Cricetulus griseus: one gene and its partner. The protein of the gene in region 1 interacts with the protein of each later gene in a biochemical or structural test. Links are inferred from orthologs where the notes say so. Each region holds a gene or a part of one and is shown on either strand. Other genes may lie near its edges.

Region 1 (3,816 bases):
CAAACTCACAGATATCTGCCTGCCTCTGCCTCCCAAGTGCTGGGATTAAAGGCATGCGCCACCAAAGCCCGGCAAAGCAGTGGATCTTGAGAGAGTCCTAGGAATGATTCTCACGGACACTCGGGAAACATGGCACCAGCAGTTCTGGAAGTTCCCAGGACCTAGAGTTCACCATGGGCCTTGTGGTACCACAGCTCCTGGTTCAGTAGGCGTGAGCATCTGCATTTCAACAGGCCTCGGGGTGACTGGGTGGCTGAGGGCACCTTGTATTCCCAGCATGAATAGCAGTAGTCTGCACTGCATCACACTTGGTTTATGATTGGGAAAACTTGGCGACAGTTCCTACAAAGGCTGTAATTCTTACAAAAGGGCACGCTTCATTCACATTTTTGTAAAAAGTATTAAAATATGCTTCAGTATTCCTTTCTATACCTAAGCCTTTTCTTCATAGTATATACTGGGAAGTTATGAGATATATATTGAAACTATAAATTATTTAACTCAAGGACTTTCATGTGATTTGGTTTTGAAAACATCAGACTCCAGGGAAACTTGTTTAGATATGATCTTGCCAATTCTTTTACATAGTGAGGTGGTTTGTTTGGTTTTGATAGACTAATGACAGGTTTGTATAGAATTCAGCCCCTAGCATACTATTAGTCCTTTCCTGCAGGAGAACAAGCATATTAATTGTAATCTTAATTGCAGTGTTTGCCCATGTTAAAGGAATTGACACTCAATCTCTGTTCAAAATGTCTGACATATGGAGGAGGAAGTGGATTTTCACAGTTTAATGTCTGCCCTTTCCAGGTCCCTCAGCGCCACCTTTGCCATCTGTTCTGTCTCCCAGCAGGGTTGCAGCTAGTCAACTGGCTCAACAAGGAGGTGATCTAACTGTTCCTGCAGGTATTCACGGCACAGACTGAATGAGCCTCTCCTGCTGATGCCAACCTAACTCAGTTTCATAATTACTCACTCTGTGTTTGTAGGCGTGTGCTCCTCTGGCTGTTACTGTTGCTGCTGCTGCTGCTGCTGCTGCATTCTCTAATGATAAGAGAAGTCATCTTTCTAGCCATCGCCTGTCTTTTCAAAACAAATGGATGCATCTTAAAACCTGAAATTTAATGATTTTTAAATGTGAAAACATAGTAAAATATATTTGGTTTAGTTCATTCTCTCTTTTTTTCTGGCTGGTACAGGCCCACTTATTTGATCCTAACCTCTCAGCTTTGCAGCTCTGCCCTCCTTGCAAACCTAAAGGGAGCTTTGGGAGTCATGTTATTATTGAGAATGGATGGGTCAAGTGAAAAGGTTGTGTATTCTTGTCAGCCTCAGCATACAGATAGTTTGTAGCTTGCAACAAAATACTGAAAAATAGGCTGGATTTAGTAGTGCTTGATTGTAATCTCAGCACTGGGAAGGTGGAGGATGAAGCGTTTAAGGCTAACCTGGACCACATAGGAGAGACTCCCAAAATCAAAACATGAAACGAAAAGAAATGGAAAAACAAACCACACATTTCTTTTTGTATGGCATTAACATTTTATTTACTTATTTTTGCATTGCTCTGATTCTTACATCTATGTTAAAGCTATCCTAAAAGCTAATCTGGCTGTTGGAATAAGGTGGGGGAAGAAAATTTATACTCACCCTGATTTTTGGGGTGTGTGTGAGTACATGCGCATGTGTGGTCCAAAGGTCAACCTTAGTTGCCCTTCACCGGCCCTCTCTGCCTTTACCTTTTGGGGCCAGTGTCTTTCACTAAGCCTGCAGCTTATCAAATCTGTTAGGCTGGCTGACCAATGAACTCCAGGAAGCCCCTCGCCACCATCTGTGCTGGGGTTACCAACCTGCACCACCACACCCAGCTTTTTACATGGGTGCTAGGGATTTGAACATGAGTCCTGGTGCTAGTGTACCAGGCACTTTACAGAATAAGCAATCTGCCCAGACCAGCCAGATTTTTGTTGGTTTTTGTTTTTTAAGATAAGTTTGCCACAGATTTCATTTCTTAAAGTGAGACAAACCACGTGTTTGTTTAATGGACAGAATATTTGTAAGCAATTAGAAAATTATCCTGCATGGTTCTAGAGGCTCTAGTCTTTCACACAGTAGGGACCTTTGTATTTTTTTTATGTTTAAATAGTTCAGTTTGAATAGCATCAGGCTTCATTTTCTCTTTTGTCTTTTGTTATGATCATGCAGGTGGCCAGAGAACACACACAAAAGGTGGACCAGTTATTCTAGCAGATGAAATTAAAAATCCTGCAATGGAAAAGTTAGAGCTTGTTAGAAAATGGAGTCTCAACACATACAAGGTTTGTAATTTTTAAATATTTCCACCCTAACTGTCTCTAAGACTTTCCATTTATAAGTTATGTTATTCCCATTATCATATTTATTATGCTTATACAAACATATGAAAAATAATACTGCCTTCACATGAATATGCAATTTGGAAATAAAATATTTGTTTCATTATTTATCTTTACATATAATTTAAAATTTAGTACAAAGCAATTTTAAGAACACTTACTAAAACATTTAACTCTGACAAATAATACACCTATTTAAAAGAAGACAAAACAAAACAAAACAAAACCCAGTGTTCATGCATGCCTATAATTCTAGCACTTAGGAGGCCAAGGCAGGAGAGTTGTCGAAACTTCCAGGCCAGTCAGGGCTACATAGAGAAATGCTGTCTCAACACAGAAAGACAGACAGACAGACAGACAGACAGACAGACAGACAGACAGACACACACACACACACACACACACACACACACACACACACACACACACACGTTCTTAGAATATCTTTAACTAAAGAACTACTGTAGTGGTACTCACTCCCTCTCCTTTTTTGATAATTCACTTACTTCTTAAGAGACACAGTCTCATTTTGTTGGCCTGTCTGGGCTTCCCTTTCTGGGATCAAGGGATCCTTTGACTTCAGCCTCCTGAGTTATAAGGACTACAGGCTCATGTCCCTGAATGTGACCTTTTCTTGGTATTTTATAACAGACTAGTTCTCCAAAGTTGGAAACTGATTTTGTAATAATTCTTAACTGTACAGGCAGCACCAGATTATAAATTCAGCATGGCTGTTTGCATTATTTCCCTAATGATGTCAGCAAAACAAGCCAATTTTTAAATCTACAGCACATTTGATCCATTACAAATGTCCAAGCCACAAATCCACTTAGTACATGTGAATCTTAATAGGGATCAGACCTACAAGACATGGAATACTTAGATGAAAAATTCCAACAGCTCAGACTATAGCATGAGCTTTGTGTTTTGAGTTGGCTATGGGTCTAGTGGTTGCCAAATCAAAATTGCCTACATTTTTTACACATAGCAGTTTTTCTCTAACATGTTTTCTCAAGACTAAAGCAGGGTGAAGTTATTCTTTCAGTTAATAATTTTAAAATACAACCTGAAACCCTCTTTAAAAAATACAAGCTTTCTTGCAGTATGGGGTGTTTCTTGAACTTGTATATTCTAAGTCAGCACTCTATAACAAGTTTTCTTAATGTTTTTAAGATTTATTTATTTTGTTTTTTGTATGAGTGTTTTGCCTGCATGTAAATATGTGTACCATGTGTGTGCTATGTGCCTATCAGGAGAGGACAGCGTATCTCCTGGAACTGGAGTTCTAGATGGATGGATCCCATGCGGATACTGGGAACTGAAACTAGGCCCTCTGCAAGAGCAACAAATGTTCTTAACTACTGGACCATCTTTCCAGCCCCCAAAATTTTCTTAATAAGATAACAGTGCTTTGAAATCTACACGAATCTTCCCAGAAGTT
Region 2 (3,916 bases), on another chromosome or scaffold:
TCAAAGAAAATCAGTCCACAGGCTTGCTTATAGGCCAATCTGATGGAATCATTTTCTTAATGGAGGTTCCCTCTTCTTGTAATGACTCTCTAGCTTGTGGTTTTTTTTGTTTTGTTTTTGGTGTGTTTGTGTGTGTGTGTTTCTTTTTTCAGTCTTTTTTTATTTTTTATATATTTGAATTACAAACAAGATTGAATTACATGACAATCTCAGTTCCCTTCTCCCTCCCTTTCTCCCCTACCACCCCCCCAACTAAAATCCTACCTATCATATGTCCTTTCTTCTAATCTATACCTGACTCAACCTTTCTGCTTCCTCATGACCTCTGTATCCTTCCTTTTCTTCCCTTCTCACTCTCGTAGCTTCCTCCCCCCTCTCCCCATGTTCTCAATTTGCTCAGGGTGTGTGTGTGTGTGTGTGTTTTGAGACAGGGTTTCTCTGTGTAGTTTTTTGTTGTCCTGGATCTCTTTCTGTAGACCAGACTGGCCTCGAACTCAGAGATCTGTCTGCTTCTGCCTCCCGAGTGCGGTGATCAAAGGTGTGTGCCACCACCACTTGGCCAGCCTATTTCTCAGAAGAAGATAAGAGCAATAATTTTGGGTCAGGTTCTAGGGAAAAGCTGTTTTTCCATATATGACATGCATTTAAAGAATGTGGTGGGGGCTGGAGAAATGGCTCAGCGGTTAAGAGCGCTGGCTGTCCTTCCAGAGGTCTTGAGTTCAATTCCCAGCAACCACATGGTGGCTCACAACCATCTGTAATGAGATCCGGCACCCTCTTCTTGCCTTCAGGCATATATGCAGACAGAACACAGTATACAAAATAAATAAATAAAATTAAAAAAAAAAAGAACGCGGTGTTCAGTTTTACTAGTGAGGGCCCCTCTAGTGCAGCTTCCAATATAGCTTCTAACCAGTCTCAAGCAGCGTCTCCATCACGTTTAAAAGAAAAATGAGTCTAAAGGAAGGAAGGAGGGACCATGGGTGCTTTGTCCTCGGCTACTCATCCAAAGAGACTTCATCAGACCTGCTTCTGGGTAATTAACATTTCTGCCCTTCGTCTTTCAACTTCCTAGACGACCCAGATTCCAGACGTTTCCTCCAGTATCTCAAATGCATTAATCTCTCCCCTCTTCCATTATGAGAAACGATCTCCCGATTCAGACCTCAGAGAAACCATCCTTAGGGATCAGTGAGCAGCAGCAGCAGCAGGTGGGGTGCTGCGTGTTTATTAGAAATAAAGACCGGAGTAGGGGCAGGTGTCAACAAAGGTTTTCGCATCCACACTCCACCGCTGGCTCAGCCTGAGAAACCCCAGACACTCCCTTGTTCAGGTCGGGCCTCTAGCGCGGCCCGAATGTGGTCTCAGTCCTCAATTCTAGGCCAGGCCCCGGAGCTTGGGAGCCGCACCTCGGTCCCCACACCACAGCCTCATCTCCACACTCAGCCTTTTCCAGCCCCCACACCAGGCTCTGCTTCAGCACCCGACCGCTTTTTGCTGCAGCCGCTGCCATGGTGATGGGTCTCGCGAGAACTGCCGCTCGCTACCGCGCACTTCTCGCGCGATCGTGGAGGTGGGAAGTATCCCGGACTGGGGGTGGGGGCTCGCCGCACATCTCCTGTCGCCGTCGCGGCTTCCGGTGCTAGGTGGAGGGAAGGAAGGAGGGGAGCCGGGGAGCGGGCCAGCGGACCAGCGTCGCCGCCACGGTCGGCTCGGGGAAGCGGGAGGCAGCGGCCCGAGAGCCAAGCGGAGCCTGCGGGGGCGGAGGTGGCGGTGGCAGCCGCGGCGCTGGGCGCAGGAACAGGTTCGGAGCTGGAGAGGGAAGGCGGGTCCGGGGCAGGGGAGAAGAGGCTGGCTGGGTCGGGTTGCGAGCCGAGGAGCCCGAGGCCCCTCCTGCCGGGCGAGGGGCGGGGGGCGGTGGTCCCCAGCCCCGCTCCTGCCCCCGCAGCTGAAGGACGCCGAGCCGGGGTGGGGGCGGGGGGGGCGCACGCGGGCTCCGTCCTCCGCCTCGCCCGAGGAGGGGGCGACCTGGGCTGCAGAGGTGGAGCTTTCGAGCTTGAGGGGGAGGCGAGTTGACCGGTGGGAGGTGATGCGGGGGCGGTGTGGCTGTTTGGATCTTTTCCTTCTGTTGAAGGGCTATGAGGAATGCTGCCCTTTTTTTTTTTTTTCTTTTCTTTTCTTTTTTCCCCCTCTCTCCCCCGCCTGAGCTGTGGGGGGACCAAAGAAAAGCCTCGCTGTGGTTATATTCTCCCTCGCCCGTCGTGAGGCATGGGAGCCGGGGTTTGGTATCAGGGCCTGCTGGTGGGGCACCGCTGCCCACCGTTTTCATGGAGGTTGCGCCCTGCTTTGGGGTGTTGGGAAGGGCAGGTTGGGAAGAGGGCAGCAGGTGGGGAGAGGGTGGAGAGAGGAGGCTGGAGAAGGGGGAGGGGGACCTGAGCTAGCTTGGAGGATAGAGGTGGGGCCTTCCTCCCCCAGGCGTAGCGGGGGCGGTCTCATCGGAGGAGGGAGCATCTTGTCACTGGCCCTGAGTTTGTGTCTTCCAATCCGCTTTCTTTCTCTAGGAAGTACCAGGATTCCCGGAACAGAAAATGAAGCCCTTGCTTACGCCAGTCCTTTGAAGGAAGGGGGAGGTGGGGAGGTAAAGTTCCCCCATTAAAACGCAGCCCCACTTGATTAGTTAAGTGGTGGACTCTCTTTTGGAGAGACTTGTTCGTTTTGGGAGTTCTGTTACTGCTGGTCTCTGGGCCTGATGGAGGAGAATGTGGTCAGGAATGAGAAGAAAATAGTAAGGTCATGAGGGTGAGGAGAAAGGTAATGTAAAACCTATCTCTACGGACGCTGGATTGGGTCACCCTTGGTCTATGGCATGAAAGTTTTATTGGGAGGAGATCTGCTGCCGGAGTCTGATTGCTTGACTCATTGCAACAGGATAGAATCTAGTCTCTGCATACCTGCATCTGTCCCCAGTCAGGTAGATGGAGACTGTCTTTGCTGCCATTTTGTCTTAGGCCTGTTTGGGGGTAGTGTCAGGATGGGCGGTGGCCAGAGGTGGTGGTCTTTTGTGTCCTGTTTAAATAAATTGTTAAAGCCCGTTTTAAGAAAGGCTCGAATCACTCGTTCATTTTTGCACAGAATGAATCATTGACCTTGGAGGCAGCTGGAAAAGGAAGGCTCCCATTTGTATCACATTCAATGTCTTGCCATCTTGCACAGTCAATTTTCCTTCCTTTCTTTCTCTCTTCCCCTCCCTCCCTTCTTTTCTTTTTTCTTTGAGACAAGATATCTCTGGGTAGTCCCCTTGATGGCCTCAAACTTACAGCTGCTGCCTCTGTCTCTTGAGTGTTGAGGTTACAGTGTGGGTCCCCACAACAGACCCCTACTGGCTATTTTGAGACGTGCTGGGTTTGAACTCAAGAGTCTTTCTTTTGTAAGATGAACAAAGGGATGGGAGTGTATAGCAATCAGCAAGGTTTCTAGCTATAGTTTCAGGAAAAGGGACGGAGGAGATCTCGGCACTAGGAGATGCAGCAGGAGGATAGAGGTTTAGGCCAGTCTGGGTTATGTAGCAAGACTGTCGCCAACAAAACAAAATAAAAAAACCTGACATATTTAGAGATAGACAAGCAATTGTCTATCTTATCAGGTGTTAAGGGTGATATTTTAGTGTGCGTTTATCTGCTCCCATTTCAGTATTTATGAAGAGAGGAAGTGGGATTAAAGGACAGAGCAATCTCTATTGAGAACAAGAAACTTCTTTAAAATTAGGTTTGTTGCCGGGTGGTGATGGCTCATACCTTTAACCCCAGCACTTGGGAGGCAGTTTTATTTTTTAATTATTTTTATTTTATGTGCATTGGTGTTTTGGAACTGGAGTTACAGACAGTTGGGAGCTGCCATGAGGATGCTGGGAATTGAA

The links.
Region 2: the proteins of Arfip1 (region 1) and Arf3 form a complex in vitro, tested with the Homo sapiens proteins (2 studies listed by BioGRID). The link is inferred for Cricetulus griseus from reciprocal best matches to the Homo sapiens genes ARFIP1 and ARF3.

Annotation. Positions count from the first base shown.
Region 1 is NW_023276806.1:69,866,963-69,870,778, forward strand, and holds part of Arfip1 (arfaptin-1), read left to right. Parts: intron 1-810; coding exon 811-906; intron 907-2,205; coding exon 2,206-2,318; intron 2,319-3,816. UniProt on the Homo sapiens protein: Plays a role in controlling biogenesis of secretory granules at the trans-Golgi network. Mechanistically, binds ARF-GTP at the neck of a growing secretory granule precursor and forms a protective scaffold.
Region 2 is NC_048595.1:395,235,517-395,239,432, reverse strand, and holds the start of Arf3 (ADP-ribosylation factor 3), read left to right. Parts: upstream 1-1,613; 5' UTR 1,614-1,804; intron 1,805-2,561; 5' UTR 2,562-2,638; intron 2,639-3,916.